Linked DNA regions of Sus scrofa. The protein of the gene in region 1 interacts with the protein of each later gene in a pairwise test. Links are inferred from orthologs where the notes say so. Each region holds a gene or a part of one and is shown on either strand. Other genes may lie near its edges.

Region 1 (2,654 bases):
GGGGGGAGAGGAGTTGCTGTAGGGAACTTGGGTCCCACCAAGCTGTGCACTGTGACATCTCATTCCCCACAGATCCGCAGTGGTACCCTGCCCGCCAGTCCCTCCGCCTGGACCCCAGTGAGTACAGCTGTCTGCCTGGCTCCCCCTGGGCTTTTGGGTGGCAGTGGGTGGAGGCCCAGGCAGCCCCTGAGCCCTGGCCCACCTCTTGACAGAGGGCAAGTCCCTGAAGGATGAGGACGTTCTGCAGAAGCTGCCTGTGGGCACCACGGCCACACTCTACTTCCGGGACCTGGGGGCCCAGATCAGCTGGGTAACGGTGAGTGCAGATGCCCCTCTCCCAGTAGCCTTGACTCTCATCTGCCACATTGTGGTGACTCACTTTGCCCCTCCCCAGGTCTTCCTGACAGAGTACGCGGGTCCCCTTTTCATCTATTTGCTCTTCTACTTCCGGGTGCCCTTCATTTATGGCCACAAATATGACTTCACGTCCAGTCGGCATACGGTGGTGCAGTGAGTAGGGCCAGGTGGGAGCTGGTGGCAGAGGGAGGGGAAGGCCTGCCGGACCTGCCCCTGCTAAACTGACTTCCCCGACAGCCTCGCCTGCATCTGCCACTCATTCCACTACATCAAGCGCCTGTTGGAGACGCTCTTCGTGCATCGCTTCTCCCATGGCACTATGCCCTTGCGCAACATCTTCAAGGTCAGCCCCCAGCTGCCCATCCCAGGCCCCTCACCCTTGGCCCGCCCTCCCTGGTCTTCCTCACCTCCACTGGGGCAGGCTCCATCCCGGCCCCGCTCCCTTTCAGAACTGCACCTACTACTGGGGCTTTGCTGCATGGATGGCCTATTACATCAACCACCCTCTCTACACACCCCCAAGTAAGTGGCCTTGGACCCTGTTCCCCCTGTGAACAGCCCCCTCCCTGACCCAGGCTCTCCCCTGACAGGCCTTCCTTTCTGCTTCCTCTTCAGCCTATGGAGCTCAGCAGGTTAAATTGGCACTCGCCATCTTTGTGGTAAGCAGTCTGGGGTGGATGATGGGGTTGGGGGAGTCTGTGGGGGTGCCCTCCGAGCTGACCCTGCTTCTTTGACAGATCTGCCAGCTTGGCAACTTCTCCATCCACATGGCCCTGCGGGACCTGCGGCCAGCAGGTGAGTGGCCTCCTCCAGGCAGGGGGGCTGGCTTCCTGGGCAGGCTGGGCTGGACTAGGGTGTTCTCACTTCTGTCCTGTCCTTCCAGGGTCCAAGACCAGGAAGATCCCATACCCCACCAAGAACCCCTTCACATGGCTTTTCCTGCTGGTGTCCTGCCCCAACTACACATACGAGGTGAGGGTCTGCCTGGCTCCCCTCCCCTGTCCCTCCTGGGGTTCGGGATCCTGTGTGGAGGGCTAGTCTTTAGGAGGGGGGTTGCCTAGCTTCGTAGCTGCTTTCATAGTTTGAACTTAAAGTACCTGGAGAAGGAGATGGCCTCTTGGGGGCCGGGGGGGCAGCTTCACCATGTAGTCCCCCCTTCACCTCCTTTACTCCAGGCCCTTCGAGCCCTGGAGTTTGGTTCCCACCCCCTTACTAGAATAGAAAGTAAGGGTTGGTGGGGAGGTGGCTGGGAGGGTGGGCGGGGTCTTGACAGAACAGCTGGGGCTGTGCAGCCCTGCCCACCCTCGCCCTGCCTGCCCCGTCCACAGGTGGGGTCCTGGATTGGCTTTGCCATCATGACACAGTGTCTCCCAGGTGAGCCTGCTGCCCCTTCCCCAGGTGGGGCCTGTCTGCCCTGGTTGTGTGCAGCCCTCCCTGACTCCACTGCTCTGCCCTACAGTGGCCCTCTTCTCCCTGGTGGGCTTCACCCAGATGACCATCTGGGCCAAGGGCAAGCACCGCAGCTACCTGAAGGAGTTCCGAGACTACCCGCCCCTACGCATGCCCATCATCCCCTTCCTGCTCTGAGCGGCTCCCCCCACTCAGGCTCAGGCAAGCTGGGCTCTGTCCCCCTGCCCCGCCCCAGTGTCATCCTGGGGGAGGGGTGGGAACTGTTGCTCTCTAGTGCCTGGAATAAAACCTGCCTGCCCAGCTGGACTCAGACTCAGGGTGTTTCTTTTGGGGGTTGGTTTAGGGACCAGCACACGACAGAAAGAGGCAGAGTTTGGGCCAAGGGGCCTGGAGGCTTTTATTTCTTGACTGGTCCACAGGGTGGTAGGTGGGCCCACTACAGGGCCATTTCGGGAGCCACCTCACCGGGCCCCTGGCCTCTGGCCATTTCTGCTTCCCTCTGCTCCCGCCGCTTCTTCCGCTGGAGCAGCCGCCGCTCCCGCTCAAACTCCTTCATGCGCTTCACGTAGCTGTGGGCAGAGCAGAGAAGTGGTGTCAGGTCCCCCTCCCCCAGCCAGGACACAGCCGTCCCATAGTCTGAGAAACTGATGGGACAGGAGCACGTGGCCTGTGGCACTTGGGGGGCCTGAATAGGAAAGACCTGTGTCTGTGGATTGTCTGGGGACCACCCCCACCCCCTCAGGTGGACACCAGTGAACCCAGAGCAGGGGCTGGGCCTCCCACCTCAAAGGTCCAAGGCAGCCTCAAAGCCACTATCCCACCCAACAGCCCCTTTGGGGTCCTCTTTCTATTGAGGTGGAAATTTGGAGGGATGGGGTGTGGGGCTC
Region 2 (4,346 bases), on another chromosome or scaffold:
TCAAATTTATACTTCTAGTCCACACTTCTTCCTGGAACCTCAGTCTCTAAATCTAATTGTCTACTCAACCTTTCCATTTGGACGTCTAATAGATTTCAAACTCAACAAATAAAAACAAAATTCCTGATTTCTACCTTTAAAATAGATTCTTCTACAACTCAATTATTCCAACTTACTGATAATGTCTTTTACGTCATACTCCACAATATATCAACAAATCTTGTCAGCTCAACTTCTAAAATAGGTCCAGAATTCATTTCCTTTTTCATTACCTCAATTGCGACCACTCTGGTCCAAACCACTATGACTAGGGCCTGGATTACCGCAACAACCTCCTAACTGCTAACACTCTTCACCAATACATAATTATTTTCATCTGGCTCTCTCTAGATAACCTCTGAGAGATCCAGGATTTTTGAAGTCTTTTAGTGCCATGAACCCCAGGTGCAACCTTGTATATGCTCCATAAATACTTGCTGGAAAGCACAGACATGTGTTTTATACCACTATATGCTCAATAAGTAATTTAAAGAGTTGTTTGACTATGTGAAAATCGGTGATTAGGAGACTTTTACAACCCCAAGGCCCCCAGAACAAAGCAGTGATCCAGGAAAGTAGGGTCAGCTGCTTGAAGCAGTTTCCATAAGTTGTCCCAATTTCCGTATGCAGACAGGTTTTCCGTATAAGCCAACATCCCACTATTTTGGGTCACTGTGTGTGGAAAGCCTCTCTCTTCACTCTGCACCTCACCCTTAGCCAACCTCACCCTTGTCCTACCTGGCTACGGGCGAGCCCACGCAGCTTCAGGTTGGAAGGCGCACTGGGGGACCCTCGAGGCCTTCATGGATGATACTGGATCCTAGGCCACACGGGCGACTTTAATTGGATGGGAAAGAGACCATACTTCTCATTGACCTTACGCACCGCACAAGTAGCTTTAAAAAGCCAGGGAATAAACCTGCGGAGCCTCTATCTTCAACCTGGCCACAAGGTGAAGAAGGATCGGTCCCCTCGCCAGCTTCTGGGAATGATGGGAAGTCAAATCAGCCTCAATAGCCCTGACCCATAATGGCAGGTTACTCAAACCGCAAGCAGAGGGGTGAACATACGGCTATCGCCAAGAGGCAAGAAAGGGGAATGAAAACATCATTTTCTTAATCTAACTTAAGGTGGGAAATTACGGGAGACAATAACCCTGGACCACCAAGCAGCTAAAAGGCAGTAAATTCCAGAGTGCGCAAGGGAGGCCAAAGGCTGCACTGACCTAACCCAAGATGGCCCCTGAGGTTATTACCGGGAGTGCAAAAGAGCGGGCGATTACCCTGATCCAAGATGGCGGGGGTGGCTGAAGCGAGCTGCGGGGCGGGGAACGCCAGGAGCATCTTTGCCCTCCTCCAAGATGGCGGTCGTCGTGGGCGCTGTCCCTGGCCCCGCCCCGCGGCCACGGCCCCGCCTTTCCTTCACCCCTCCCTCCACCCACTCGCAGTGCCCACTCCTGGAGGTGGTGCTCGCGCGAGGAGAGTCGGCTCTCGGCACTTGACATGGCGGCAGCGGCGGTGACTGCAGCGACGAAAGGGAATGGGGCCGGCGGGGGCCGGGCCGGGGCCGGCGAAGCCAGCGGCTCACGGAAGAAGAAGGGCCCGGGGCCTCTGGCCACGGCGTATCTGGTCATCTACAATGTGGTGATGACCGCGGGGTGAGGCTGGGGCTCAGGAAGGCGGGAGAGAGCCTGGCTGGGGAGGGGGCTCTGCGGCCGGCAGGCTGAGCGGCGCGGCTCGGTCCGCAGCGCGCCGGGTGTCTCCGGTAGCGGATGTTCGAGTACAGACACCTGGGCGCTAAGGGCAGCCGAGGCTGAACCCGCCCGAGTGCCTGCCCCGGACTCTTGCCTGGGCCAGGGGCCGAGCAAGTTCCCAGCCACCGGGCGTGCCCTGAGCTGGAGTTCCGGGGCTTCTTGGGGGATAGAGAGGTTTCCCAGGCGCTGGTCCGTAGGGCCTTGGGAGGACGGGTGGGCTGGCCACACGGCAAGGTTTGGGGGGCTGTGTGCCGAGCTATCCTGTAGCGCGGAGAGCCCAGGCGGCAACTCACGAATGTCTAGCGTTCCCCCTAAAGTGGGTGGAGGGAGCTCTGGCTGCAGAGTGACCATTTACTGAGGCGGCTGTTTTCAAAATCCAGGCTGAGCTTTAATGTGGAAGAAAGGTGGTGGAAAAGCGTTCAAAGTTTTTGCCCAGTGACTTGAGCAGACCTGCTTTAGAGGAGTTTAGACTTTTTGGGATGGACTGAGGTAGGAAAGACACTGGAAGGCAGTGGTACTGGGAAGGAGGGGAATAGACCCTGGAAACCGATTTTACCCCTTTCACTGTTTCTCATTTAAGTCCGTCCCCTATCACAGCGAGTTTTTAGTTCTAGTTATGGCACCAACTAGCTGTGTGACTTTGGATAAATAATTTTATTTCTCTTGGCCTCTGTTTTTTCATCTGTATAAAGACTTGAGCTAAATGATCTCCAGGGTTCCTCCAATTCTTTGATCCCATGATTTTCTGTGAGGAGATTCACAGAATCAGACTGTTTGTTATGTATTTTTAAATTGTATTCATTTGTAAAAATTTTTAAACATTTATTATGAAAAATGTCAAAATTGAAAGAACTGTATAATGACCATCCAGTTTTATTTTAAAACTAGGTAATATATTGGCCAAGTGCAAAATTCAAAATATATGCAAGGGCATACTGTGAAAATCTTCCCTCTCACCTTCCCTTCCACCCAGAATACCTCCCTAGAAGGCGGATCGTTTTTTGTATCTCTTACTCGTACCAAGCAAATCTGTATACATTACCTGCACACACACTTTAAAAAAAAAACAAATGCTAATGTCATGTTTTAGCATTTCACCACCTTTTCACACACACACAAAACATCTTGAGAGGATCATAGGCTTTATTGCTAGTATTAGAAATAGCCGGTATTGCAACCTAGGCTCAGAGAAACTGTGACTTGCTTGACTTGTTTGAGCTCACAGAACTTGTTAGTAGGAGATGTGGATCTAGAATACATTTCTCTTAAAGGCCAATAAAGAAATATTACAGATGCAAGTTCTCTGTATCACACAAATGGTTACAGAGTGAGTTTAAGAGAATATTCAAGAGTGTGTGTGTATTTATATTTATATGTAAAATTCTTGTCATTTATCAAGGGCATTGATGAGAACACTGTGTGGGAGAAGAATTTTAAGGTACATTGGGAAAGAGGAAAAGAAGTCCTTATTCCTGAGCCATGGAGATAGAGAATAGGGTGCAGGCAAAGAAGAGAAGTTGGGGTTGTGAGAGTAAAGTAAGCTTTTTTTCTTGGCGCTAGTGCTGAACCGGTTACACCATGAAGAAATTCATCTCTTGCTTTGCAAACTTTCGTTTGATATCTTCGTATGACAGTTTGTAGAAATAGCAGACCACAGCATGCCCCATTGCCTAGTACACACACATAAGTAAATCTATTACTGCCTTCATAGAGACATACATTAATAAAGGTCCATTCATTTCATTATGGAACTTACAAATAAAAAACTACAAGGCCTGAGACATTTACTTTGGAAGACAGAACAGAAATGTAATGTTCAGAGTCATGCCTAAATGCTTCCCTGTTTTGTGTTTTGTATTGGTCTGGCTTTCTTTACTGAATTGATTTTGGGAAACTCAGCTAAAAACCCTTTTGTTCTTTTTTTAAAAAATAGCCGTTTATTCATATGTCATTTTCAGTCTTTTAAAAGAATAGATTTTTAAAGTATGAGTCTGTTCCAGTGAGATACTCATATCGTTTAAAATCTTCTCGCCACCTTGTTATTATTACAGACCCTTTAACCACACAAGGCATTTAAACTTTTCCTTTAATAGTTTTCTTTTCTTTTCTTTTTTTTTTCCTTCTTGTCTTGGACTTTCTGGCACCTAACTGCTCAAGGATCAGTTTAGCTTATTCCCTTCTTTTTGGCCTTGTTCTCAACAGGCAAGGTTGCCAAAAAGCCTAGCTCCAGATGGGTGAGGTGCCACTGTGCTTTTGCAAAAATTCCTCTGGGTAGGGTGCTTTGATGGTGCAATGTTTCAGTGCCTTATGTACAGCTTGGCATTTGACGGTAAAGGTTGATAAATCTAGCAATATCTCCTTTAGCACCATTAGCAATATCTCTTGTTGCCCAATCTTTCTGTTATAACCCTACTTAACTTTTTTTTTTTTTCTTTCCTGATTGCTCTTTTTCTTAGGTGGCTCGTTATAGCAGTTGGCCTGGTCAGAGCATACCTGGCTAAGGGTAGCTATCATAGCCTTTATTATTCCATTGAAAAGCCTTTGAAATTCTTCC
Region 3 (3,449 bases), on another chromosome or scaffold:
AATGTCCATATGCCATGGGAATCAGCCCTAGAAAAGGCAAAAAGACCCCAAAAAAAAAAAAAAAAAAAAGAGTGAATAGGCTTGCAAGCTATATCAGCAGATACTCATTATCTAGTTGTGTTGCCTCTAGAAGAGCAGTAACCACTTGCTCTCCTTTATATCAGCCAGAACGTCACATCTCAGTGTCCAGGCTTGAGCCCAGATCTTTTGACAGATATTACGAGTATACATTCCATCCTGAGAAGAGAGCAGATGATGAGTTAAAACTTTTGCCCAGATTTTTTTTTCACTTGGAAGAAATGTCAAGTGTTTTAAAATAGCTAAAGAGGAGTTCACATCACAGCACAGTGGAAAGGAATCCGACTAGGAACCATGAGGTTGCGGGTTCAATCCCTGCCCTCGCTCAGTGGGTTAAGTAAGGATCTGGTGTTGCCGTGAACTGTGGTCTAGTTCGCAGATGCGGCTCAGATCTGGTGTCGCTGTGGCTGTGGCATAGGCCGGCAGCTGTAGCTCTGATTCGATCCCTAGCCTGGGAGTCTCCATATGCTGAGGATACAGCCCTAAAAAGCAGTAAATACATAAATAAAGTAAAATAGCACCCAGAGATTGGGTGCTAGGTAAATCCGATAGGTAGAAAGAACAGGGGCAGATGTTGGCTCATGACAAGGAAGTGTTTTTTGTTTTGTGTTTTTTAGTTAATAATTAAAATGGTTCTGGCTTGTGAGGGCGTTAACACCTGTTCTCGGGGGCATTCATACAGAAGCAGAGTGCTCAGGAAGGCTGTAGAAGGAATTCGCCCATTGGGAAGCTTGAACTCCGTTGCCTTCAGGCTCTTTGGTCGCACCTTCTTCTGATGTTACCCTTTTCCCCAATGTCCCTCAGATGGAGGAACAAGTTCTGAGACGAGTGCGAAGGAAGATTCGAAACAAAAAGTCTGCTCAAGAGAGCCGCAGGAAGAAGAAGGTGTATGTGGGGAGTTTAGAGAGCAGGTATAAAAGGGAGAGGGACTTCGGGGGGACAGGGAGAACAGAAGTAATTGGGAGCGTCAGGTTTCTGAAGGATGGGTACAGGCCATATCCCCACAGCCCTGTTATTTCTCCAGGGTCCTGAAATACTCGGCCCAGAATCTGGAGCTACAGAACAAAGTACAGCTCCTGGAGGAGCAGAATCTGTAAGCAGCTCTTCGACCTCAGTGCTTTCTCATTCTTCCCGTTTAATACTTTCTTATTTCCCCTGCTCCACACTTGATTTCTAACTGGGCAGCTCCTACATGCAAGGCCTGGTGTTGGCCTTTCATGGGTATCTGATTCCAAGAAGTTCACAGCAATGGGGAATAAATTCCCAAGTTAACTACAGATAAGTATCAAGAAAGAAAGAGGGAGCAAAAAAGACCTCACGTGGCAGAAGGCATTTGACAGTAGATGGGGATTCTGGAGTGGCGGCAGGGAGCATTTTAGGCAAAGAGAACACCACATAGTCTAGTGTGGCTGGAACCCTAACCCAGGTGAGTTGGGCCATAAGGTAGAGAACATAGAGGGAGTTCCCTGGTGGCCTCCTGGGGTAAGGCCTTCTCACTGCTGTGGCTCTGGTTTGATCCCTGGCCTGGGAACTCCCGCAGCATGTGGGTGTGGCAAAATAAATATAAAAAAAGAACATAGAATCCCTGAAGAGGATTGAGTGTGGAGCTGATCAGGCAGTTGTACAAGCACTAAAGGTGTTTGCAGAAGGAGTTTAAGTCAGGGGCAGGGCAGAGTCCTGTGTGTTTGTTTTAATGAGGAACTTCAGGCATTTTTGTCTAGAGAGGAGGTGATCACTTGCAAAAATAGGTCAGAAAGTAAGAGAGAGGATCCAGTGCACAGAGGGAGGGGTGGCCTTAACAGGAGGATTTTGTTACATGTCAGGGTGCCAGGCCGGGGGCTGCTCACTGTCCCCCGTTCTTCTGCTAGGTCCCTTTTGGATCAGTTGAGGAGGCTGCAGTCCATGGTGATTCAGACGGCAAACAAAGCCAGCAGCAGCAGCACCTGCATCTTGGTGAGGATGGCGATGGAAGGAGAGATTCTTTTCTCAGGTGGCAGGGACAGGGGTGCAATCCAGAGCTCGTCCTCATCTCTTTTTTTTTCCTGTTTGTGCTCCAGGTCCTGCTCTTCTCCTTCTGTCTCCTCTTCGTACCTGCCATGTACTCCTCGGACACAAGGGGGAGCCCGCCAGCCGAGCATGGAGGTGAGAGGCTTGAGACCACTCAGGAAGGGCCAGGGGGGGAAGCCAGGGTGGCCCCTGAACAGTCTGTGTCTCCTCAGTGTTGTCCCGCCAGCTTCGTGCCCTCCCCAGCGAGGACGTTCCCCAGCGGGACCTGCCTGCACTGCAGTCAGAGGTACCACAGGACAGCTCAACCCACGAGCTCCAGGCTCCTGGCAACTCTTGCTGCCTGTTCCACCACATGGCTTGGGCTCCTGGGGCAGAATCGCCCATGAAGCTGCCACTGCCCGACCGCTTCTCAAGGTCTTCTAGCCCAGGTCCCATCTTCCCCCTGCATGCAAATCTCACAAGAGAGGGAGGATGGCTCCCTACCCACAGCCCCATATCTGTTACCTTGCAGGGCAGGTACTCAGGCTAGATGTGAGAATGCAGGGGGCCTCAGCCAGAGCCTGGTGCCCCCAGTCTGTGTTCAAAGGAAAAGGAATGGGAGAGGGTGAGCCTCAGGTCCTGTCCCCTGTCAGGAAGCCTGAGGGCACAAACACACCACACTTACTGGCTTTCTGGGGTTTTATTTGCACCCATGTATGTCTGTTGTTCCATTAAGGGGCCTGGGAGAGTCCACTGACTTCCTTGAACATTTCATGCAATGAGGGGATGGGGTGAAGAAAGAAATAAATAAGTGATTCTGATGCTTGGGTCACCCTCAACCCCTCTTTACTGGCGTGGTTGGTGGGGAGAAGGGAGCGCATGATTGTCCTGGTGGCTCAGGGTTGCAGGAGTCTGGATGGGGTCGGGGTGGTGGAGGAGGAAAGGCCTGGCTGGAGGCTGGGCTGTTAGTGCCTCCTTCCCCCTCTGGGCTCAGGTTTGCATGGCTTCCTTTGGTCCAGGTTTTAGGCCGGAGCTTTGTCCTGTGTCCTGTTTGGCTGTTGGCCCAGAGGCCTTTTTATGCTGCTGCTGCTGCAGGGCTAGCTGCATGGCCCAGATGCTCAGTGGTCGCATGTAGGCGAGTGAGCGGAACACCCGCTGCTGGCAGTATGCCTCAGGGGTCTGGAAGGCCAGGCCCAGGCGCTCCCACACAGTACGGTAGCAGCCTTCTGCTGTACGGAAGCCCTCCCAGGTCAGGCCCTGTAGAGAGAAATGGCCATCATATTCCTCGGCAACCCCTGAAGAGCCACTTCAGCTGGACAGATGGAGACAGTAGGTCTCTGCCCTCAGGGAATTCCCAGCTACGGAGGGAAATAAAACTGACTCAC

What was found.
Region 2: the proteins of TECR (region 1) and HACD2 interact in binary tests that used the Homo sapiens proteins (3 or more experiments, as listed by UniProt). The link is inferred for Sus scrofa from reciprocal best matches to the Homo sapiens genes TECR and HACD2.
Region 3: the proteins of TECR (region 1) and CREB3 interact in a two-hybrid assay, tested with the Homo sapiens proteins (2 studies listed by BioGRID and IntAct). The two-hybrid records come from large-scale screens. The link is inferred for Sus scrofa from reciprocal best matches to the Homo sapiens genes TECR and CREB3.

The regions. Positions count from the first base shown.
Region 1 is NC_010444.4:64,723,117-64,725,770, reverse strand, and holds the end of TECR (very-long-chain enoyl-CoA reductase), read left to right. Parts: coding exon 1-117; intron 118-212; coding exon 213-316; intron 317-394; coding exon 395-510; intron 511-594; coding exon 595-700; intron 701-806; coding exon 807-879; intron 880-972; coding exon 973-1,016; intron 1,017-1,094; coding exon 1,095-1,152; intron 1,153-1,240; coding exon 1,241-1,329; intron 1,330-1,685; coding exon 1,686-1,731; intron 1,732-1,816; coding exon 1,817-1,944; 3' UTR 1,945-2,073; downstream 2,074-2,654. Other genes in the region: NDUFB7 (NADH dehydrogenase [ubiquinone] 1 beta subcomplex subunit 7), read right to left, coding at 2,204-2,336. UniProt on the Homo sapiens protein: Involved in both the production of very long-chain fatty acids for sphingolipid synthesis and the degradation of the sphingosine moiety in sphingolipids through the sphingosine 1-phosphate metabolic pathway.
Region 2 is NC_010455.5:136,832,641-136,836,986, forward strand, and holds the start of HACD2 (very-long-chain (3R)-3-hydroxyacyl-CoA dehydratase 2), read left to right. Parts: upstream 1-1,462; 5' UTR 1,463-1,541; coding exon 1,542-1,696; intron 1,697-4,248; coding exon 4,249-4,346. UniProt on the Homo sapiens protein: Catalyzes the third of the very long-chain fatty acids (VLCFA) elongation four-step cycle (condensation, reduction, dehydration, and reduction).
Region 3 is NC_010443.5:236,453,489-236,456,937, forward strand, and holds the end of CREB3 (cyclic AMP-responsive element-binding protein 3), read left to right. Parts: intron 1-882; coding exon 883-989; intron 990-1,102; coding exon 1,103-1,171; intron 1,172-1,946; coding exon 1,947-2,031; intron 2,032-2,135; coding exon 2,136-2,220; intron 2,221-2,297; coding exon 2,298-2,614; 3' UTR 2,615-2,885; downstream 2,886-3,449. UniProt on the Homo sapiens protein: Endoplasmic reticulum (ER)-bound sequence-specific transcription factor that directly binds DNA and activates transcription. Plays a role in the unfolded protein response (UPR), promoting cell survival versus ER stress-induced apoptotic cell death.